Linked DNA regions of Lytechinus pictus. The main gene of each other region encodes a partner of the protein of the gene in region 2 in a complex. Links are inferred from orthologs where the notes say so. Each region holds a gene or a part of one and is shown on either strand. Other genes may lie near its edges.

Region 1 (13,111 bases), about 6.8 Mb from region 2:
ACCATCCAGATGGGAACAAGACCTTGTATTTGGGGGTTTAATACTGACCATATATTTCCTTTCAAAATCCTTGCTCTCTACATGTATCTCTAAGAATGAAGCCATTATACCAAGGGGAGATATATCTCATTGGAAAAAATACTGTGGAAGTCATATTGTCCATGCTCCTAAATATTCACTTCTTGTTTTGATACATTGTGATGTCCCCCACACCTACATGTACGCATGGAGTTTATAGGCTGTCTAATTGAATTTTATTTAAATCTGGTGGGTGTTTCATAAAGGTGTTCGTAAACAAACGCACAACTGGAACATGTTCTTATGTCATAAATCAATTATACAGGGATATAATTTAGCACAAGAAAGGATCACCAGTCGTACGTATAGTAATTTGTATCTTACGAACAGCTTTATGAAACACCCACCAGGGCACTTCTCAAAATGAACATATTAACTTAATCTGGTATTCATTTGTACAAATAGAATTTGTCTTGTGTCTGTATCAAATACATGTAAGAATAATATGACAACAAATTATACCTACATTTAAAATAAATAAACAAAATTCAAACTCAAAACAAAATTAAGCATAAATTCTATTAAAATGGGGGGGGGTGGGGGGAATATTACTACTTTTCAATTAAAGAATAATACTACTGGGCCCAATACTATGCACCATTACACTGAATTGCACATGTGTTTACAAAACAGTAATACGAGTCACATAACATGACATAAATTTTCCTGGGCCTTTTTTTATGTTAGTATGTACTATAAAGTAACTTATGCTGCTTGAACATTGTAATAGCCACAAATACATGCAACATTTGGAACAAATTATTTCCTATTATTTAGTTAATAATTCATTTAAGTATGCAAAGAACCAAAGTATGTTTCTTCAAAGTATATGTATGGCAAGAGTGTTACAGCAATACAAAATATCAATATACATTAAATGATTATGAATATCACTGGGGGATGAGTTGATGATTTATCCAAAAAATAAGTTTAAATGCCGGGGAAAGTGTGTTTATTAAAAAAAAAAGAAATCAACTACAGTATGTGGGACTTAAATTTAATTGGGTCCTTGGCAATATCATTCTGATCAAACTGTTTGCATTGGGTCTGAAAAAGTTTAAATTGTACAGTACTTTGATATTGGACATAATCAAAATCCTGGAATCAATATGAAGTAAGATATCAGAAGAATTCCCTTTGGATGAATTTGATCAGAATATAATTGTGATCAAACTGTTTGCATTGGGTCTGAAAAGGTTAAATTGTAAAGTACATGTACTTTGATATTAGACATAATCAAATGCCTGGAATCAATATGAAGTAAGATATCAGAAGAATTCCACTTTGGATGAATTGTTTCCATGTTCTTTCCTTATCTTATATCCTATTTAATAAATGGACATCCGCATGTACACTACCTTCACCAAACAGTGAATGGTAATGCGCTATTAATATTGACCCACTTTCATTTACGGTACATACAGAAATATATTGTAATATGTCTAGTCAGGTCAAACAAAAAGCTTCTATGTGAGTGGAAAAATAGAATTATACTAGCAGATCTGAATACTATGCAAAAGATACTTTGCTATCATACTTTATTCATTTCTGGTAAAAGACATGGTCCAAATGCAAACAAGTTACAAAACATTTCACATTTACTCATGCATACTATTCCATACGCAGACTCTAATATACATGTAAGAGTATTTGGATCTTGCATCTAAACCAATTTGAATATTACATGCTCCTGGCATGTACAAAAATAAATGTAGCACAAAGAATACCAAGATTTCAAAGATTTAATTAAATCACTGAAAAAGTATAAAAATCATAAAAACAATCAACATTCATATGGCAGTTCATTACAAAGACATATCAATTAATCCATTTACATATATAACCAAGCTTCTCTCATACTCTTAACTTACATGTATAGTACACATTATTCCAAAAATATATATATTAAAGTATTTCATGGAAAAATCTTTTAAGGGAGGGCTGCATTACTTGCCATATCTCTGTTGTGTTTTGGAATAGGAGTGGAGTACGTCGATGAAACTTTGGTAATTCATTCCATGATGTGTTGGAACAGACCTGTAAAATGGAATATAAAACAGCAGAATTTGGTTTATTTTACGCTCGGTTCAAAATCATGTTTCATTTTTCATTTATAAACACACATCATTAAACATGATAATGTTGTTATTTAGGCTGATAAATTCAAGCAAGAATATTGAGAAATCCTGCACTCATTGTCTTTCAATATTTTGATTCTAGAGACTATAATTTAAGGTTTTCCCATTCAATATGTTAACTTTTTTAATAGTGGTATTTAAACCAGGGCTCTGTAACATCAAGATTAGGGATCAATCGCTAAATGGACTGACCAATCAAAATCAATGTACCATGCACATTTTGTTTAAAACACTGACCGAGAACAAAACAGCAGTGTTCTTTCATATATTTGCAATCCATCAAAATGTTTTATGTTGTAAGGCCTCGAGATTGATTTATCTTTCTTCAGTACAGTGGTATACAAAAATCAAAATGACTGGGAACCGATGTATTCGGCCATATCAACTCGGCACTGGTCAAAATACATGGACTACACTTACCTTGCTGAGCAAGTCCAACCAGATCAAAACATTGCTCCATTATAATTCCCATTTAATAAAGCTTTCTAAATAGGTTTTGAGCATCAATATTATAATGAATTACGAAAACGAGCAGAAATGTTCCACAATTCTACTGAAGCATTGAGGATGAAATTGCACAATGAATTTCTTATTTTAATGACTGCAGTGAATGGTAGTTTTTAAAGACTACAGTTGTGCTCATAACTTAACGAACCCAAACAGAAAAAAAAACTTATTTAAAGTGTTCAAGTTCTGCCATGTTTTAGATATTTAATTATGAAGTCAGATGATAAAATATTACATTTAGTATCAATAAAAATTGCAGTGTTGTTGTCAACAATCGGCATGAAGGAGTGCATTTCATGGTGTGGTTCACTAACTTTAGAGTATCACAAAAAATCCCCTACTCTCCCAGTATAATACATTTCATGCAACTTAGAACATCATACTTACAATATTTCTGTAACTCTAATTTTCCATGGTGAATATCCAAGTAAACTATTAACTTGTCCAAACTGAATGATAAGATCTGGGTTGGGATAATCTAGTAATGCTGAAATATGAAAAAGTAATGAATCATGAAAGGAAAGGAAAACTACGAGAACACATTTCAGAAAATCAGACAAAAGTTAGACTGCATGCTCAGAGTTCAATAACACTTTGTGTGGATATAGAAAGTTGGGTGCAAATTTTACATTAAAGATGAATAGCTGTTAAAATTTGCAATTCTTGCAAAATAAATTTCAACTAAAACCAACATAACTACCTATTAAAGAGTGTGCACAGTAGGAATAAAAAAAAAATTGCCAGAAATTTTGGTTGTAAATAAGTAATTGCTCATTTTAACAAAACCAATTAAGGAGGCATTCTGTCAGTAGACAAGTATTTATAGAATCTATGCAACTTATAAAGACTACAGGTTAATGTTGATTCACTAGATTTTGAAATTACCAATTTATTTTTCCTGTCACTTTATACATGTAGGCTTAGCCATTATGGTAAATGTCAGTTGCTATTCAGTTTTTTTTGTGATTGAATGCTGATGGTGGCTAACCCATAACTTTACCCAAAGTCAAAAAATACATGTAGTTGCAGATTTATGTGTAAAAACAAAATAAATGGGATATTTAAGTTTAACTTACAATTCATGACTTGGTCTAAATTGGTAATGCCTATTTCTGATGCTCTGTATCTGTTGTCTGCTACATCTTGACATAGTTTCCTGGCAGATTCCAAGATATCCCCCCGTCCATCTTCACAAGACATAAGGGCTATCCGAGTACTTTTAGTATCTGCAAATGAAAAATATAACCAAGTGTCATGGATTTGGCAAGAGCATAATAGGACATTTTGAAAGATGTTTGACTGCCAATTTTCATAGATTTGCAAATGCTGAAATGAGTTAAAGGAGAATCATCTTTTCAAGCGATCTTCATCAAGTGTTGTAAATTATGCCAAATTGAGACTGTGATGATAATGTCAACATTCCAAAAATATTTACACTGCATATTGCTATCACTTTCAACATCTCAAGAAAGTAATAAAAATCTGTAATGATGAATAGGGTTCATTAGTTTTCTAATTCTACTTTCATATAAAATATATTTCAATTTTTTTTTCAAAGAAACCATTGCTTAAATCTATTTTTGAAATTAATAATGCAGCAAGATAAGTGGAAGGAGTTCAGTGGCTACTTAATCAGAACAAATTCAAATACCACCTGTTAACAGAACCAGTATCAGCAGATATGTCCATTAATTTTATCAATAGCCTTTATGTTTAGCATCATGAAAGAACATTTTACCACAACTGAAGTCCAAATTTTGTAGAATATACTGTATTCCTACATCTAACAGCACTTCAATCTCACTGAAAGAAATTTAGGTTTTTACTTTGAATCATACCTAAGCACACAGATACACACACCAACTTTAAAAAGCAAACTACAATTAGGAAAGGAACAGCTTACAACTTAGCAGTGAAAAAAGTGGCCAAAGTAAAAATTGACTTAAATCCAGAATGGTCAGACATACCTTGTAAAGTTTCTTTGGTGGTAGTGACTTTATAACTTCTTTCTCCATTTCTCACTGGTGTCTCAATATGGAAGACAAGGCGGTTACTCTCTGAAATTGTTGCCATCTTTTTCTGCATCACATCTCTCAGTTTTGAAGGGTTTTTCTTGAAGTAACCTGCAATAGTGTTTTTAAAAAATAATATCAAATCAATTATCAGAGATTCTTTGTTTGGTTTTTTCTGGCTATCATATTTTGTCATTATTAGCTTTTGAATACTTTCAATATTTTTAAGTTAAACTCAATCACCATGACCACTACTACCAGACAAATATCCAGAGCTACAATATATAGGCACTAATACTTGATGTAGTAATCCCTTTGGCAGCTCATACAGAAGCTATACTGGGATGATGAATAAAGTGAGCCACTGGAAGGAGCATCATGAAGCGCAGAAATGGTGATGGATAAACATAGCAATTTTGTAAATGTAATGAAATAGACAATTTAAAGGACATCACAACATAACCTTTAAAAAAAAAGTATCAAAATCTAGATCACAGAATCAAGCAATACAAAGTCACCAGTATACGGTACCCGGCCCAGTCGTTGTGTGTACGGACAGGTTGTGTGTAGGACCGTGTCCAGACAATCAATTTTAAACAACCATTTGGAAAAGTTATCGAGCAAATTCTCAACAATGTTTAGTACAGAATATTAATTATAGAGAACAAAATTGACGATTGCAACTTTTGTTTTTTTTTGTAAAAATTTACCTCAGCCTACGCTGAATTTTAATGATTCCCTTATCATTTTGGTGACTTTAATTTTAAAATGTTTAAAAGTGAGCCCGTAACTTGTAAAACTAAAAGTTATAAAATAATGGTGGGCCCCAAGTCTGCGCACCTAACAATTTGAGTTAAGATTTAACATGAATTTCTTCTTATGTCACAAAATCTTTCAGTTAATAATGTTCTTTGTATTATCATAAGTGTAGGCCCTACCAAATTTTTCATTGAAAAATGAAATATAAGATTTTCTTGAAAAAACCTGTCATTTTCAGATTGAAAAAAAAAATGGTACCCCATGTCTGTGCACTCATTCACTTTGCACACAATTCAGGGATTTTGATGAGAAAGGCTGCATTCTGAGGCCGTCACATAAAATGCCCTAAATTCATTATTTTTCCACTATTTTGAGTCAAATTTTTTTATGAATACCCGTCTATGTATTGCATGTGTAAAGTCTGTGTTCGTTGCATATCTTCTTTTAATAGAATCGCGCAGACAAGGGGGACTGCGCAGACTTGGGGGAACTTGCCATAGTCATAGACAGTGTGAGTGGTAGGCCTTACCCGTATTGACTTGTTAGTGTTACTGTTATTATAATTAGTACCGGTACCGGTATTTAGTGTTAATCAAATTTTATTATAATATTATTATGATTATGGCTATTATAGTATTAATTATATTTGCATGTTGAATGTTCACCTTCATCATCAAACAGAGAAACATATTGAAATCCCATGGCTATGCACCACACCAGTAGATTAGCGACATCTTCGTCTGAAATCCGACTTTCCAGGATCTGCAGACCGATGTGTAATGGAAGTTTGGGAAGATTCTTTGAGTCGATGCGGCATCTTTCAGCGGAAAGTTTACGTTGCTCTCCAATGCACAACCCGATGTGTTTGGAAATAAATCTCGTTAAACGAGTCCACAAATAAAGACGAACCCATAACACGATATGCACAAAATGCAGCAAAGCAGTGTGACAAAAGTCCAAAGCCATACTTTTTCGATAAAGACCTCTTGTTTTTGGTCTAATTTGCACTGGGTTTTCTAAACATCAAACCGAACGCTTAACGTGGCCCATTTCAACTGAAGTAACCGACCAAGATAAGAAACATTGAACCTACGGTATCTCTTAGATTTGACTGAAAAATCCGCGGTATCGGAGGATTTTTTTTTTTTTTTTTTTTAAGTTTTCGGAGTTTTCCGCCTCATATTCGTGTTACTATCATGGCGTGATGTCGAGAAATATTACCACCACTGCGGTGCATATGACCGACCTGGGATACTTCGTTCTATGAATGGAGGGGATGTCGCGAAGTCATCCATGAATATAATACAAATAACTTTTAAAAAAGAATAAATGCGAGCGCTAAGCGCGGGAACAAAAATGGATTGAGTTTGGCTCATAAAAATACATTATTACTTAGTGTATATCTCTATGGTTTGGATACTCATACTGTTTTCGTCATGGGCGTAATTCCATGGTGTCATACTATTCAGGTGGTGGATGAAGCCATCATACACCTGTCACCCCCCCCCCCCCCCCCGTGAATGATAGGTTCAGGGAGACGATCGAGGGAGACCGCCAGTGATGATAGGGAGCAAAGCAGAAAGCAGAAAAAACAAGGAGAGGAGGAAAAATAAGAAAAAGAAAGATAAGAGGGGAAAAAAGTGAATAATAAGGAAAGGAGTAAAACTGTCGGAAAATGCAAAAAAATTCAGGCCACTATTAAATCGCGTTGTACGTGTAATGAGATAGGCCTACATCCGATTCAATATAGGACTGAATATCCAATTTTCAAGGCAAAGATAATGATATTTCTTTGCCGCTTCGGGCTTTATTTCAATGAGAGATACGCACCCTGTAAGTAATAAAAATAAAATCTTTTAGCATTTCGCTGTCGCGTAGATGATGAGTGAAATAAATGGAGTGACCAAACGCCACACAGGCGCAAAAAATTGACATGTCACAGTTTAAGTTTTATTTTAAGCCTTTTATAGTGCTTTCCGAACCTTTTTGAACTATTTTTGCAGTGCATAGGCCTACTTAAAATTTTCAAGTTGTCTAAATTATTGTTGGGGCAAATCGATAGGCCTATGTTTATTTGCCCCCGGCAATATTTTCATGGGGTCGACCGCCCTTGCCCCCTTAATCGACATACGCCTCTGTATATAGAGTGATTGGGCTCTATTTTCTACATTATTGTAGACTATATTCATACAGGTCGCGCCCCAGGGTTCATGTTCTTTTGCAGCCTATATCTGCATGTTGAGTATCCCACTCAGGAATTGAAGATGCTGTAGATGTAATTGTAAACAATGAAGAATATGGGCACCCCTCCGATGAATCCAGTTTATCTCAATCCCGAATCTCATTATGTTACTGCAATTCTTCGTGTGGACTTAGCCCGGATTCACGGTGGAGACAAAATGAAATAAAATTTGAATTTTGATGTGAATCTAATCCCTCACCCTCTCTCTGCAAATGCTGGCCGGCGGGGTAAAGGATCATGACTCATGAGGAGTCATTATGATCCACCCCCCCCCCCCCCGCCCCCATACAATCATCTCCGTGCCCTTTTTTGACAATGATCCTACATTGACCCCACTGAATGATATTCAGATCAGAGCATGGTTGACCCTTAAGAGCCCCATACCTTCAGTTCCCAGTTGTGTCACGTTTTGAAAATCCATCACCTAGAAAAAAGTGAAGTTTTAATTGCCCCCTCTTTAAGTAACAATTCTTCGGGTGTATATATTTTTTTTAATAAGTAATCTATAGAGCAAAGTGTACATGGCATGGGGAGATTAGTAAAAAAAAATGAAAACCTAATTTAATTTTGTGATCGATTAATAAAATTGATTGTTTATTTTTTTTTATAGTCATGCATGGGCGGATCCAGTGGGCAGGGGGCCGGCCCGGCCCCCTTATTCGCGGAGCCAAAAAAAAAAGAAGAAAAAAGGGGGAAAGAAAGAAAAAATTTAAAGAGAGGAGAAAAAGAAAAAGAAAATAAGAGGAGGAAGACGAGTGAATAAAATGAGATGAGAGAAAGCCTTGGAAAAAAAAAACTTTTCAGCTCGCGCTCGCATTGTTTGATTGTTCAAATATGTATTGTCTTCATGGCTAACTAGGTGCAAACATTCCTTAACAGGTCCCTTTTCGATCAGGCTAGAATGTTTTTTTTTTTTTTTTGCTCGCGCTTTGCGCGAGCAGTAATTATTTATTTACATACGTATCTTGAAAATTTTAGCTCACGCTTCGGGTTCGCACTATATAGGGCTTATGAGATTATCAATAGGCCTATGTTAGTTTAAAAGAATAACATATGAATTTGTTACCCCCTATTTTGTTCACCTAATATGAAGGTTTTATTCAGCTTGGGTCGGCTGTATTTGGCAGTTAATGATACGCGTACCGCCTTGACCGAACTGTGCGAAGTCTGTGTGGTCTGTGTGGTAGAGATAGGCCGGGCCGTAAACACTACTTCTTGGGGGTGCATAAATTGCCCTAATTAAGTTTATTAATTGTGACAAAATAGAATCACTGTAATTTGTTTATGATATTGACTGTGGTACGACATAAGGATAACGGAGCAGCTTCTGTTTATGTTAAGATATAGACATGTAAGGAAATGTTTTCTTCTGACCAAAAAGTGAGAATAATTTTCTCTGATTCTGTACTCCTTCCCTCGATGTACTCCCGAGTTCAGGTTCAGTTGTCTTAGCGACGCGTTGTTTACTACTGCGCGCATTGTGTGTGTACGTGATTATTGCATAGAAAGGTATTCGGCGTATTGTGTGGTGTATACACCGTTCATGCTCTGCACGTATACGTATATGCACCGGTATGCACACATTATTCATCCCTGGATTTGGCTTCTTAAAATGAGACAAGCATGATTTAACGTGAAAATTGACGGAGCTAAATGATCAATCAATATGAATTTTATATGTATGAAAAGCTTACATGTTACATATCCCTGTCTGGGAACGAGGATTTCCAAATCTAACGCAAAACGCGCTGCTGCCAGGTTGAACATCGTATACCAAAATCCAATCGAGCACAGTGCGACCAATTAATGGATATTGTGCATGATAAGAACAAAAAAGTTAATTGCATTGTAAAGTTTAACCTAGAAGTGACGAATTTTTTTTTCAAGAATGGACATGATTTTACATGTAATGAAAAGGAAATGTTCTCTTCTTCTTCTTATATCTAGGACGAGGATATTGTACCCCCTTTCAATTTTTGATAGGAGAGGAAAGAATATAAAGAGTTGATAGGCATACTAAAATAGACAATGCGCAGTGCGACTAATCAATTAACGTAGATTATGCGTGATAAATACAAAACAAGTTCATTGGATTGTAAAGTTTGACCTAAAAAACACGGCGGTTTTTTTCAACCAATTAGGTTGAACCTTATATCACAAGAAAGAGTTACAACCTGTCTATCTGATAGTCGATCGTTGAACTGAGAAATTTTGATACGAAAGTCAGACGCTGTAAGAGAAGATCGAGCCCAAAACCGTGCAAAAAGTGCTTCTCTCACACATAAACACGAGAAACTGTGTATTTTCAGTCAAAAAAACACGGTTGTTTTTTTAATCAGAATATAAAATGACAGATATCATGAGATGTAGAACAAGTCTAAGATTAAGAAACCGTTTGAACCCGTGAAAAATCTCGAGCGGTTTTTGAGATATGAGTTAAAAGAGCCGAAAATTGGTCTATTTTGTCAAGTTTTTGACGCCGGAATAGGGGATTTGCCACGGTGCGCGTTAAGTGAACACAACAAATTCATATGGCTCTAGTGTCTGTTAGGACTGCCCCTTCAAAGAAACAAACAAATTTTAGCGGCTGTTCTAGGAAATTATGGTTTTAAAAATCGCGCCCCCCCCCCCCCCCCCCTATTGGCGAAAGCTTGATCCACCCCTGGTCATGATTATTATCGAACACTGATAATACCACACTCAACTTTCCTTTTCTTTTCTAATATCCTTTTTCTTGGTCGTGAAAGATTGGGGGCCAGAGCACCCCCCCCCCCTCCCCCCCCCCCCCCCAATACGCCAGTGCCTATTTAGGCCTACGCGAGTCGCGAATCCGGTTGTTTATTTTGCGAATTTAAGAACAATTATTCTGATGAAGAAAACGCGAAAAAAAAATATTGTAAGATACCATACATCATGAGTATCATTGTTATGGACTGTATTTTCAGTAATATTGCGTCACTGCAATATTCAAGCAGACAGCAGCACACGACAGCAGCAGCGGGCGTAATTGAGCTGCGCTGAGTTAGTGAGGCCTAAGATCTTCAGAAGTTTGGTGAAAAAATACAGAAGCTGCATAATTATAGATTGTACCACACCAGTAAATTCATTTCTCTTCACAAATTGTGTGAGTGCCGTTCCACTAGCTTGTCAACAAAGTAGAGGTTTGACTCTGAGTGCTGTGCGAGCTACGATATTTCACTAGCGGGAGCCAGCGATCCCACGCCAGTGAGCCCGGGTGGTTGACAAGAAGGAATCCGCTGAAAAGTGGAACAGTGCATCGATCATGGCGCTCAATCCATCATCACTGACATCACTTAGAATTAAAGCACTGAACATGAAGAAGTGTATTTCTTATGCATCAGTTTCTCGAAGACCTAATTTTTGGATACAGGGACAGGGCAAGGGATTTCATCAAAGTTCAAATTTATCAGTCAAAGTTCTGATGAACATGACAAAGGTAAGTCTTAGACTTAGGCTTAGCTAGAAATTAGAATAGATTTTTCAAGAAGTTAATAATTTCATGTTGATGGCAGGAGTTCGCATAATTAATTTGTGTCATTTGTTGTGACCATTGGGTTATCCCATTGCTCAGATTCTACTCTAAGGTTGGGGTAATAAGTTAAAAACAACAACAATTATTTTTAAAACTTGTAGTTTCTTAAATGAAATCTTATGTTAAATCGAATGTAGATATAGGGTCGGAATTATCAATTTCAGTCAGATGATCATCAATTAGATCTGTATAAATAAAATAGCTACCAAATGGAAAATGTTTTTCTCCGAATTATTTTCAATGGGATTGATATTGAAAAAGTTATATCATGAATATTCATTGGTGACTATTGAAATATACTTTTTTTAACAGGACTTCAATGAAAAAATAATAATAGAGGTTCTATTTACAATAATTACTGGGCCTAGTAGGGATCTCCAATTAAAAAATCCCAGTGGAAGGAAATGAGTGAGTTTATTTTAAACAACAGAAAAGTTTATTTTAAAAAACAAAATGACCTGCTGGCCCCTCCCCCACCTTTTTTTTCGCCTGTCAGAAAATTTTTGAAGAATTTTTTTTTGCTCTCCTAGAGTGCTAAGAAACACTGAATCCACTACTGAAAATCCATACAGAGTGCATTCATCTAGTCTGTTCTCTTTATGAAAATAAACAAAGAAAAAAATAAAATGTTCTACCGGTATATTTCTTTTAAATTTATAATTTGTTCTCTTCCTCAGGAAAAGCGCATTTTCTCTGGGATCCAGCCTACTGGGGTGCCACACATTGGCAACTACCTTGGAGCTATCCAGAACTGGATCCAGCTCCAGGAAGAGGAGAATACTGAGATGATCCTGAGTATAGTGGATCTTCATTCCATCACTCTCCCCCAGGATCCCAAGGAGTTAAGGGAGAGTATCCTTACCTCTGCTGCTGTTCTCCTTGCCTGTGGGATCGACCCTGATAAAAGTATTCTCTTCCAGCAGTCAAGTGTAAGTCTAACTCTCTTTAACTTTTGGAGTTCAGTCACTGGCATACAGATGGTGAGGGGGAGGGACTTGGGTGTTCATGGACCCCAAAAAATTTCACAACTAAAAAAAGGGAAAAGATGAAAGAAAAAGAAAGGAAATTGGAATAAAATTATTACAAAAATTAGATTTTTATATCAAAGGGGTAGAAAAATTGTGCTCGCTCACTTCACTCGCTCACAGCAATTTTCAGAAATTTGCCCCATATATAAAGTCTTGCCCCACCAATTTTTGGGTTAATTACGCTGGCCACTGAGTTCAGTATTGAAACGGAATGAGACCAGCTGGTAAGCTTCCCGCCTAAATCTGTAACATTGGATAAGCATTGCAATGGGTGGGGATTTTTCAAGGGCTCCCTTTTTAGTTTCCATGGCTCTTCAGAGTATCTTGGGGGTGAAATCGCCCTGAGCCCCCATGTAATTTGGCCCTGGTGCTGATTAAGAGTCACATCTGACCATTGAATAACAATGGAAAAACAAACATGTAATGTACATATATTGTTATTTTGAGGTTCGGTCAGTCTGGCACTTATCTTCAAATGAGAGTTGAGCCATGCATTTGACACTTATAGGCTTTTGATTGAAATCATATTGCAAATTAGCACACATTTATAAGCAAGGGTATTCTTGGAAAAGATTCATCCAATGACATGATGCCTTGCTTATTGTGCTAATAAATAATTTTCTAATCAAAGTTCATTTTGTGATTGCTAAACTTTGATTTATTGTAGCTTGAAGATTTTTTTTTAATTTTTAGTTTGTTCATTGTGTCCTTGGAAGAAAATTTGTGACATACAGTACAGGGAGTGACTACAAAGTTTATTGAATTGTTTTTACAGTAATTATTAGAGGCTGTAA
Region 2 (12,170 bases):
GAAGTACATTGTTCACACTGAGGTGTAAGACCATTGTTGTAATGACCTTGACCAAAGGTGTGAACACGACACCTCTGCATTTGTGATTTAAATACATACAGACTCAGGAAAATTGGACAGAGAATCTAATGCAAGATTCGGGTGATACAGAAAGTAAAAAAGAATTTGTAAAATATTGTGGGCTTGAATTACCCACAATTCTGTGAATCTGTGCCACTGACATGCAAGTGGGTCTTCAATAGCTCAAAGTTATGAGTTTATTCTCACCTTGTGTTATTGTGTGACATAGATATGGCTTTGACAGCTGCAATTTCTTGCCCATCTCTCTATCCTACACTCAACTCTTTGTGACTCGGTTTTCACTGTGAGTAATTGTGTGATATAGACATGGCTTCTGCTATAACTTCTTGCACATTCCTGGAGAAGAGGTTGTGATACCCTATTCATTCCCTGCAGGTATCAATATAATTATGAATCTGTTCTCACCTTGTGTTATTACGTGATATAAACATGGCTTCTGCAACAACTTCTTGCACATCCCTGGGTAGGAGGTTGAGGTCTCCTATAACTTGTACACAGACACCATGCTTCATGATTTGATCTCTGAAAACAATAGAATGTGAAGAGGGAGAGAAAGTGATTACTATTATCAGAAAACACAATGAAAACATAGTATGGAACACAAAGTTTAACCATAACACAGGGATTATTTTCAAAAACATTCTCGGAGGCACATACAAAATCCAAAATCTAACCTTCAGGCAGATCTGTGCAAATTGACAGGGACAAGCTCCTGACATCACCTAACATACAGTGCACTCAGGACATGAGCTTTATCTTAAACATGAGCAAGGAGACTCACTTATTAACCTGTACATTTAACTATGCTCAATACAAAATTACATACCAACAAACAGACATACTCAGAAGGGATAAGATATTACATACTATTCCATTTTCTAAAAAAACAACAACACAGAAATAACAAGTCTCTTCACTGTAACCTTACAAGTGACACCTCCCCCCCCCCAAAAAAAAAAAAAAAAACCCATAGAAATGCCTCCTTCAACTTCAAGGATATTCCAGAAGACTGAAATGGCAGTTAAAGTATTTCACTACTGGTCTTTCATCATATAGATGGATTAGAAGATAACATTATTATTGGATTAAACCAAGAAGAAAGGGGGGGGGGGCAAAGATTATTAGCTTTTCTCTAACAGAGGTACAACGTATCACCTTCAAGCATTGACATACCATGCAATAGACTTGAACAATATCAGAGTAGACATCATAGTAGACTTGAATAATGAAAAATATGAATATTCAGAATAAAAAAATTGCATGCCAAAATGCTGAAGATGAGATGACACATAATTGAAAATTCTCAAATATACATTGTAATCCAGCATCAGAAATAATTGCTCATGTGACTAAATACAGGAGTACTTTGCTTAAACTATTAAGAGCTATTGTTAAGAGAAGTTTGTTGACCTTTGATCTGAATTGTGCCAAGCTATTTATCTCTTTCTCTCTCTCTCTCCCTCTCTCTCTCTTCCTCTTCCTATTGTCACTCTAATTGAATGCTACATACTTGTACATGGAGTACAAACCAAACATGAAACATACATTTCATGCAAAATGTAATTTAAAAAAAAGTATTTGCAACACTCCACCAATACTCCCAAATTTCCAAGATGTTGGTCAGATTGTTAATGTAATAAAAATATAATTTCTCTGATATAAATCTCATTATGTAAAAAAAAAAAGTTTGTACAATACGGTGAAAATCATAAGAAATAAACAAACAAAAATTGAACTTACTTTTCTTCTAATAATCTGAGAAATTTCTTTCTTGCCAATTCCATCAGTCCGTCCACTTCTTGCCTTGATCTCTTGAAGTTTTCTATACTGAATGCATAGACGGTGACTTCTGTAATACCTAGATCTAAACACCATTGTAGAGTCTGAAAATATACCGAAAACATATAATGTGTAGTAATTATAGCGTTTAATGATAATGTGTACTTCATTAAATGTTTTACAATATTTTTTTTTCACTTTACAATGAAATCAATCAATCAACATATCCCAATATTTTTATTTTTTTTAAGGGGGAGGGGGTCATTCTATTTTCACTTTATTTTTCATAGAATAATTCTCCCCTCTTAATGATGTTTTTGTAATGTGTATGAACCTCCAGTGCAATATTTAATCTTACTCTTATGTTCTTATTTGATTTTTTCGTAGGTATATATTCCTTTCAGTTTCATGTAGGCCTATTTTTCTTTTTTCTGTGAACTTTGTAATGTGTCAGTCTTCTGACTGTTTTTACAATGTCTTCATATAATAAACCGAATGGAAGTAAATTATCGAATCATGTCATGGGGTGTGTTTCATAAAGAGCTACAACTATTGAGATTTTGCCATTATTGTAACTAGGTAGTAGGTACCATGGAAAACTTGATTCGGATTGGCTGCTGAGCTCAGTTACCATGGTAATTGCTATTGAGGTTACCATAGTTCAAACTAAAAACAAAATGGGTCCCTAGTGTACCCCAAAGACCACACATGTAAGTTTCCCACTAAAATGATTATTCAGGAATTATCTTTTTCTTTAATGCAGCTATTTTTCAAGTAATCAAAGAGGTTTTATTGACTTGGAAACCAAGAATAAATAAAAGAATTATTTTTTAATGCAATCCCAATTTAGGCCTACCCTTAATGTTCCAAGTACTGTAGGCCTATTATTTTTATTGCATGAATTATAACAATTTGTAAAGTGAGTTGATAAATTCACAAGTGACTTTGCAGCCCACTATTAAAGAAATTGTACATGCAGACTCACACGCGCAGCTCTCTGTATCACTATTAACTTCTCTAAAATGATATTGTACATGAAATGATAATCAACACATTCACTTGGTAACTCCCCCAAACACACATGCTTTCTCTTTTAGTCATTCAGGAAATCCAGTGATAGCATGTGCACTTTAAAGGGACTGGGTGAAAGTCCACATTATCTATCTCTTAGTTTTCATTCATTCCAATTATAAGTAAACATTGTTTTCAAAGTTTCCCATTCTCTGTTGGTGAAAGTGACAGATCTATATTTTTATTGGGAAAAGTAAAAATCACATTATTTTAGGTTTTTATTGCATATTGGTCTATTGAGCATTTATTCATTTGGTAATTAAGAGAATGATCAGTAACAGTTTAAATATAATTTAAAAAAATCAACATTTTGGGTAATCAATGATCACATCTGACCAATATTCACATTTAAACATTCAATGAAGTTCTGTAAATTGTATTGCATTCTGGATGTTCCTTTCAGTGTTTTTTTTTTCAAAGGAAGTCAAGATATTTCTTCTATTAAATTACACTGTACATGCAAGAAAAGGGCTGTGAACACCACATGTAGTACAGATGCATAATTATGCCTGTTATTATTAGATTGAGTGTGAAGAAGAATGGTTGGTGATTCTTTCATTCCCCCTCTACTAATATTCTGCATGATATTATAGAAGGGGGGGGGGGTGGACTGCCCCTCTACCATTTTCAAAGAGAGTACCAAAGTGATGACGTCACAAAAAAACTTTTTTTTTTAGCATTTCAGTGCTTTGATACTATATTTTTTGAGAGCATGATGAAAAACCCCCACTACCAAAATTTGGCTGGAATCGGTCCATGGGGGCCTGAGAAATGACCTCATGAATACATTGACTTCAATGGGGCTAATTACATGTACTGTATGTATTCATGAGGACATTTCTCAGAACTTCAGAAGAGTGTAAAAAAAAAAGAAGTCTGGAAAACTGGGACATGAAAAGAATAGCGCATGTCATTCTTACATGTCTCAAGTGGGGTAAAAAAAAGATGTTACTTTCAGGTTACCTTGCCCCGCCCCACCCCCCCCCCCCCCATCAAGGTACCATGGTATCAACCATGTACTTGAGGGTTTCCTAAAACATAATTTTCCCACCCTATACTTTGAATACAAAAGAAGACATATCCGGAAAGACTGATCTAGCAAACACTGGGTTTGCATATCCCTACACCTTTGTTTGGTTCACCTGTTACCAGAAAGTATCAATGGAAGAATGGACATTTAACCAATTGCGTACTGAATTATTGCGTCGCCATACTATAGACTGGACATCGAGACATGCAGCTGATAGGAAGTACTGATTTTTTTTTCTTCACTGAAGATAGCCAAACATATTTCCAGTGACCCTCCTGTCTAGAATACATTTTTGAAGCTTAAAAATTTCTGCACAATTTCTTTGGAATTTTTTTTTTTTTCATTTATAATATAGAGAATGCAAATATAAAGATCAATAATAAGATCAACTGCATATAACAAAGATATTCCTTTTTCTTCAAGCTGCCTTCATGTAGGCTTACAATTACACTACAATGGCTAGGCTGGCAATTTGCATCTTCCGGAGAAAGTGCAATATCATTATTAACTTGCAAAAGATTTATAAAAAAAACGTGCTTAAATTTTTTGGATTTCACTCTCACCTCCGCTAATTTCTCAAAACCAAGTGAATGCCCATCTAGGGTCTGAAAAGACTTCTTCTTAGCAAATCTGCGATTGCCATCCATGATGAAGGCTACATGCTGAGGCACGGGACCACACTTGAGGACCCGCAGACAGAAGGACTGGAACCATGTCTTCTGGGCCTGGTACTGCTTCTCTGGGAACCATTCTGAAGTAGCTGCTGATGCCTCGATCCTGCAATATAATGAAAAATTTGATTTGATCTAGCCCAGTCTAGAAAAAGAATTTTAAAACTTTTTTTACAATAAGCCATGATTGGGTGAGATCTACATGTAATAAAATGTGAAACATATTGAAAAGGGTAATTCCAGGACTTGATAAAGGGGACCATAATATTCTGGATCTGGATGTATACGATGCAGGGCCCTCCTGGGCATAAACGCATCATCGGGTGACTTGACCTGAATTTTGCCTGGACCGGCGGGTGCAACACACCGGCTGAACACCGTACTCTTTGTCACTTTGACTAGTATTGGTTTTAACGTGCATAGCTAGGTTGTGACTCTCCTATACACGGGACCAATATTTGCATCCTTTCCTACATGTATGCCATGGATGGAGTGTTTTCCAACTACATTCACACCTGCACTGAATACACAATGCTATACTATACTAGTTTTACTACTGTCTATTAGCATCAGATATTTTTTTTACTTTTAGACGCGTTTTAGCATGAGCGGGACGAAGTACGATCATATCTGAAACATGCGCTCTAACCGACCAAGCTACGCTCATAATTTCATAATTTGTTTAAAACCTGATAACTGATAAACTATTCTAAAAACATGAAAAAGTGAAGCCAAGCAGCATAACGTTACTAAGTCGTTAGATTATCTAAGTTAGATCTAGGCCTACACAGTATTGCCTAACTTTAAAGTCTCACTCTAAGTTAGACCTACATGTAGATCTAACTGTCACTGTCTCACTCTCACAAGTCTCAGTCTATTCACATCACCATCACATTCTCAGTCACAGTTCATAAAAAAAAATTCTAGATAATTTTTTTTATTAAAAAAAAAATAATGGCCTAAAATAAATATTGTATTATTATTTATCTAGCTCTTAAAAGAATTAAGTTAGATTTAATAATACTCACCAATGTTCATTAGACTTTCTAAGTTCTGGATCCATGTTACATTATCCAACTCATTAAGGTGAGGTAATTATTCTCCCACTCCCAAGACAGGGCCCTAACCTAAGCGTAACTCGACAATCCAAACACCCGGGACTTTCGGCAAGCAAGCACGTCGAGTTATGGTCGGCGTCGAGCGGTGAAGATCTGATGCAAGACTCGGTGCCACATCGGAGGTTCTAATTCAGGTACCGTAGCACCTAGCTGCATGCACGGGGTTTCGTCGAAAGTCGCTCGCTGAAGTTTCGGCGAAAAATGTTACTGCAAAATCGTTCTCGTGCATCTAGCTAGCGCAGTATGCCGCACAGAACACATGTGTATGGCTTCTCATACGTTACACACACACTTCATATCACACATGCACTGGAAAGTATCGAGCCTGTATGGCGTTGCCCACGTTGCACACATACGTTCAAGACACTGGCAATTTCAATGCATGCAATTCAGTGCATTATGCATGCATTCAATCAAGTCAAAGGTCAGGGAGAGCGGATGAATCATTGACCACAAAATTCTGGACTTTTCTAACTCTAGATTATTTTTTATACAAAGGAGTAATTTAAAGAATATCATAATTGAGTTCTATCCTATTAGGTTGAGTATTTACACTGTCATATCCAGATATTTTCTCACAAAAATGAGATATTTAACGAGCTATATTAGCATTGCGCACTGATACTATGCAAACGCTCGACTAAGTACAGTGCAGGAGCAGCAGGAACAAGGCCGGGAATTTTTACGGTGTTTATTGCGAGGTTGTGAAACACATGTATCTCTTCTGACAAAAAATTATAATTATCTGCTTGTTTTCCATTCGTTTCCTTTCTTGACAGACCATGTTTAGATATGGCTGAAGAGAATGTAGGAAGGGTAAACGACAGTACTGCTGAATCAGGTAATATTTTGCTGTCATTTTCCTCGGGTGCTGTTCACTATTTTATCCGCGCCTTCGCAGCGAAGTGTAACGACAACAAATCTAACGACCCAATTTCTCTCAATTTGTCCACAGAATTGTACTTCTTAATTGCCAAATTTCTGGAAAATGGACCCTGCAAAGAGTCAGCCAATGTAAGTATTACGTCTTCTTAAACATCTCTTGTGTATTTTTTGTGATTTTTCATCAGTTAATATCGTATATTTTCCTTGTCTTTGGCAGGTTCTCCGACGAGAGATCGAGCAAAATGGGGTGAGTGCATTTCATTCGTTTGTGTTTGATGCATGATGACTCGTTTTTGAAAGTGAATTTCGGCCGAAAATTCAACATTTCTTTGGATTTCGACGTCTACATTATAATTTGAATTGATAGAATGTTAGAATAATAGTTGTTTTAAATAATTGAATTAGAAATGATTAATAGAAATTGTTTATCTCCATTTTCTCAGTTATTTTCTGCCAGATTTGATTGGAAAGGCAACCAACATCGACAGAGCATCAAAAACTTGGTAAGAGATGTGAAAAACTTTTTCTATTGGATTTAATTTTTGAATTTCCCTCTAAAATCGTCAAATTTGTTAAATGTGAAAATTTGTGGATAGTTGGTTGTCAAATGGGTGTAGCAATCATTTGATACCAATAATAGGACTCACTTTCCATTTTTTCCCGAAAAAATCAGAAAAATACGTCTGAAAATAGCTTCTTTCCCATCCCCATGAAACGCAGGCATAGGCAAGTGATTTGCATAATGGATCGAGCAACCTGACCCCCCTAGCTATGACATCATTGTATGTGTGATCACCAAGCCAATCAGAGAGCCTGTAAGGGTTGTGAGGTGGCCACCTCATAGTGTTTGCAAAATGAGCTATGATTGGATGAGCTAAAATGCATATTCATAAGGGATTGTTTGCACACGGCACTGAGTTGTGTGCAGTGTGCATCTTCATGTTTTCAATTTCGGTGAAGTGTGTTGAATTGAGGAAACCTTTGGAGAGAGTCTGCTTGTGTCGTGAATGTGTACCCATTTGAGTACAAGAAAATGCGCTGACTTGAGTGATAATGACAACACTATACTAGTACTAGTTACCAATAATAATAATAATTAACAATGACGATGATGGTTATATTATAATAATAAAAGCAATAATTTAGTAATAATAATAATATGATAGTAATAATTTAATGATTAACATGATAATGAATGATATAGTAATAATGATAATTATTTAAATTATGCATAAGTAACTGGTACAAATTAGTACTACTACTACTACTTCTGCTGCTTCTACAACTACTACTATACTTCTACTACTACTGAACTACAACTACTTCTATGACTACTAAGACTAACTGCTGCTACTTTACTACAAGTGCTACAAAGATGCATAGGCTATATGATAAAAGAATAATTTGGTATTTATTATGATGAGGATAAATATGTTAATGAATACATGCATGCTAGTATATTATTTTGTTTTTCTTCCAATAAGTAAAATTACAATGCCCTTCTTGTATATAAACATCAAGTAATAAAATGAATAGGCCTATCGATTATGAGTATGTGACATCCACATTGATTTTCTCGGCTCACTTATTTTTGGGATTGAAATTCCAGAAGAGAAATCTATTTAAAACATGCCTTAACTACTTCAACATTTCATGTCCATTTGTGTTATAAAAAGGTGATTGTAAAAATAAATAGGTGATTCAAAAAACTCATTAGATATGGTAATTTATACACCATGATGTTTTCATAGTTATAATTTCAACTGATTTTTTTTCAGTGGGGGATCACACGTATCTAGTAGAGCTGCAGATGTTTCCCCAAATTCTACACAAATAAAAAATATTGTCAATTATTATTTGAATGCAAATTCATGAAGAGTTTCATTCAAAGACTGCACCAAATAATTTTTATATTTTGTAGAATTATGTATTATATTTTTTTCAGTAGAAATTTACTTTATTTCATCTTGAACAACATGATGTGTTCTTTATGTTTGTTATTGAAGTATACAGTACAATATTGTTTTCTTACATCTTACAAGGTTTTCCTCGAAAGAAGGGCATTTTATAATATAAGTTTATTATTATAATGTTGTAGAGCTCTATGAGTTTCACTAAACTTCTGCACAGAATTTTGATATTTTGCTGTTCTTTTTGCTTAGTTATGTTACAGGGCAAGTTATCCCAAACGATAAAGAATAAATTTTTTATTTCATAAATTCAAAATATAGAAAATTTGAATATGGAATTAAAAAGGCTGAGGAGATGAATAGCAGTATTTTGTCAAAACTCGCTATTCACAAAATCAATATTTTCCAAGTTTACACAACTTTATACAAAATTTATGTTGAGGGGAGGCTTGATATAATTAAAGGGCAAGTCCACCCCAACAGAAAATTGATTTGAATAAAAAGAGAAAAATCCAACAAGCATAACACCGAAAATTTCATTAAAGTTGAATGTAAAATAAGAAAGTTATGACATCTTAAAGTTTTTTTTATTTTACAAAACAGTTATATGTACATCCTAGACGGTATGCAAGTGAGGAGACTGATGACGTCATCCACTCACTATTCCTTTTGTATTCTATTGTATGAAATATTCAAATTTTTCTCATTGTCAAGTGAAACAACTTTGATTTCTACTCTGATCATGTGGAATTAGCATTGTTTAATACTATATGGTTCAGTCAAGTTTGTCCTTATTGTCAAATGTGTAAAAAATGAAATATTGTATAATTCACACAATAAAAAACAAAAGAAATAGTGAAGGACATCACCGACTTTCTCATTTGCATGTCACTGAAATGTGCATATCACTGTTTTGTGAAAAATAAGCAAAACTTCAAAATGTCATAACTTTCTTATTTTACATTAGATTTTGATGAAATTTTCAGCGTTATGCTAGTTTGATTTGTCTGTATTGATTAAAATCACCATTTTGCTGGGGTGGACTTGACCTTTAACTATAAAAGTAATGAAGATGATGAGTAGAAAGGGGAGTATGGTGATGATGAAAGATGGTGATGATGATGAAAGATGGTGATGATGGTGATAATGATGATGATGATGACGATGATGGTGATGATGATGATGATGATGGTGATGGTGATGATGATGATGACGATGATGATGATGATGATGATGATGATGGTGATAATTTTAATAAATGATATGTGGAGGAGTAGGAGGGATGGGAGAGGAGGAGTCACTGTCCACAGAATAAATGTTGTCACCAATGTAGCTTTAGTCATGATGACTCCAAAAGACGTAAGCAATTCAAATGTCTTTCAGGAACTTATCATCCATTGAAACGGAAATTTCAGTGCATTTATTAGGTCCACTAGAATTTTCTTCATCTAAATTTGTTTTCAGGAAAATTGCAACGGTCACATTAAGAATGATCATCTGTTGAAAATTGTTGGTCGTATCGGACATCTCCTGGACAAAGATGTGAAGCCAAGAGTGCATGGTGTAAAGTCACTGCTAGGGGGCGCTAGACAATCCCTTCTACGCACAGCAGCAGGTAAGAAGCTGCTTTGTTTGTTTTTCATTCTAACTTCTTAATCAAAGGTATCCCTTTATGATTTATCAGTTAAAAGCCTCTTTTTAAGTTTTTTTAAATCCCTCCAAAAAAGTTGCCATTTGAAATAAATGAATATTTTACAATATGTGAAACAAAACCTGATTTTTAGGGGTGGTTTTCTGAGATCCATTTTATCTCAGATAAAATTAAATATTTTATCTCTGTTAACATCAGTGAGATAAAATACCCTTAAAATCTCCTCGAATTGGTATTCTGAGAACAATTTTATCTTCATTTTATGGGGTTAATTCACCTAGAAATATTGGTGAAATCAACGCCGCAGAGATAAAATAGCCCCTACCCTCTTTTAAGTCTATTTTATTTTTTCTTCAACATGGGCGCAAGCACACATCCGCGTTGCAATGGCCAGATACGCGATGGGTATGTCTACGCAGGCACTGTTCTTTTGCGTATTCCTTATATAGATACGCAAGATAAAATTTATACGCAAGATATATAATTGTGAATTTTATCTGAGAGATAAAATGTTATCTCAGAATACCAATTTCATTTTAAGAGATAAAATAAAATATTTTAAAGATAAAATGACCTCAGAATACCGCCCCAGGGTTTTTGTCTCGCCTGCATAGCACAGCGAGACTATAAGCGCCGCTTTTCCGATGGCGGTGGCGTCAACATCAAATCTTAATTAACCGAAGGTTAAGTTTTTGAAATGATATCAAACTTGGACATAAGGTTAATCAAGTATTACTGAATATCATGCTTGAGATTCAGGTCACATGACCAAGGTCAAATGTCATTTAGGGTCAATGAACATAGTATTTCATTATCATATGAATTGTGGGGTTTTTGTAAATAAGTATTCAATAGTTGTTTTTCAATGTCAGCACTGCTGCTATATTGAATGGCGTAATGCAGGCGAGCAATGGCCAGATATGGGATGGGTATGTCTACGCAGGCACTGTTCTGTTGCGTATTCTTCTATAGATACGCAAGATAAAATTGTGAATTTTATCTGAGAGATAAAATGTTATCTCAGAATACCAATTTCATTTTAAGAGATAAAATAAAATATTTTAAAGATAAAATGACCTAAGAATACCGCCCCAGGGTTTTTTGTCTCGCCTGCATAGCACAGCGAGACTAGGCGCCGCTTTTCCGATGGCGGTGGCGTCAGCATCAATCTTAATTAACTGAAGGTTGAGTTTTTGAAATGATATCAAACTTGGACATAAGGTTAATCAAGTATTACTGAATATCATGCTTGAGATTCAGGTCACATGACCAAGGTCAAATGTCATTTAGGGTCAATGAACATAGTATTTCATTATCATATGAATTGTGGGTTTTTTTGTAAATAAGTATTCAATAGTTGTTTTTCAATGTCAGCACTGCTGCTATATTGAATGGCGTAATGCAGGCGAGACTGCCAAAGGCGTTCCACTTGTTGACTGTTAAACGCCAAGCAGGCATATAACCTAGGAAACATCAAAATCTTAACCGAAGGTTAAGTTTTTGATATGTCATCATAACTTCGGAAGTTGATGGATCTAGTCCATAAAACTTAGACATAAGAGTAATCAAGTATTACTAAACATCACGTGTGAGTTTCAGGTCACATGATCAAGGTCAAAGGTCATTTTGGGTCAATGAACTTTGGCCAAGTTGAGGTATTTGTTGAATTATTATTATAACTTAAAGTTTATGGATCTAGTCCATAAAACTTGGACATGAGAGTAATCAAGGATCCCTGAACATCCCCTGCAAGTTTCAGGTCACATGACCAAGGTCAAAGGTCATTTAAGGTCAATGAACTTTGGCCATGTTAGGGGTATTTGTTAAATTACCATCAGAACTCTGAAAGTTTATGGATCTAGTCCATAAAACTTGGACATGAGAGTAATCAAGGATCCCTGAACATCCCCTGGAAGTTTCGGGTCACATGACCACGGTCAAAGGTAATTTAAGGTCGATGAACTTTGGCCATGT

What was found.
Region 1: the proteins of dehydrodolichyl diphosphate synthase complex subunit DHDDS-like (region 2) and dehydrodolichyl diphosphate synthase complex subunit nus1-like are in contact, whole or in part, in a crystal structure (PDB 7PAX), measured with the Homo sapiens proteins. The link is inferred for Lytechinus pictus from reciprocal best matches to the Homo sapiens genes DHDDS and NUS1. Residues at the interface, in NP_995583.1 of Homo sapiens: Arg37, Arg38, Glu81, Asn82, Lys84, Arg85, Arg159, His160, Ile162, Ser163, Val166, Arg167, Met169, Ala170, Trp171, Val173, Glu174, Pro180, Ser181, Ile183, Ser184, Glu185, Leu188, His199, Glu209, Val210, Arg211, Leu212, Ser213, Asp214; in NP_612468.1 of Homo sapiens: His137, Gln138, Pro193, Glu194, Lys197, Ala198, Ile200, Val201, Ala204, Gln205, Phe207, Cys208, Gln209, Val211, Ala212, Arg217, Pro218, Thr219, Leu221, Asp222, Val223, Leu226, Asp237, Pro246, Val247, Asp248, Ser249, Thr250, Leu251, Gly252.

The regions. Positions count from the first base shown.
Region 1 is NC_087248.1:4,384,639-4,397,749, forward strand, and holds the start of dehydrodolichyl diphosphate synthase complex subunit nus1-like, read right to left. Parts: upstream 6,548-13,111; 5' UTR 6,461-6,547; coding exon 6,160-6,460; intron 4,847-6,159; coding exon 4,691-4,846; intron 3,950-4,690; coding exon 3,800-3,949; intron 3,211-3,799; coding exon 3,111-3,210; intron 2,116-3,110; coding exon 2,025-2,115; 3' UTR 1-2,024. Other genes in the region: tryptophan--tRNA ligase, mitochondrial-like, read left to right, coding at 11,020-11,193, 11,967-12,218. UniProt on the Homo sapiens protein: With DHDDS, forms the dehydrodolichyl diphosphate synthase (DDS) complex, an essential component of the dolichol monophosphate (Dol-P) biosynthetic machinery.
Region 2 is NC_087248.1:11,205,748-11,217,917, reverse strand, and holds the start of dehydrodolichyl diphosphate synthase complex subunit DHDDS-like, read right to left. Parts: upstream 6,471-12,170; 5' UTR 5,696-6,470; coding exon 5,661-5,695; intron 4,739-5,660; coding exon 4,525-4,738; intron 1,965-4,524; coding exon 1,822-1,964; intron 604-1,821; coding exon 487-603; intron 1-486. Other genes in the region: PH-interacting protein-like, read left to right, coding at 6,543-6,591, 6,706-6,764, 6,853-6,882, 7,079-7,138, 10,010-10,160. UniProt on the Homo sapiens protein: With NUS1, forms the dehydrodolichyl diphosphate synthase (DDS) complex, an essential component of the dolichol monophosphate (Dol-P) biosynthetic machinery.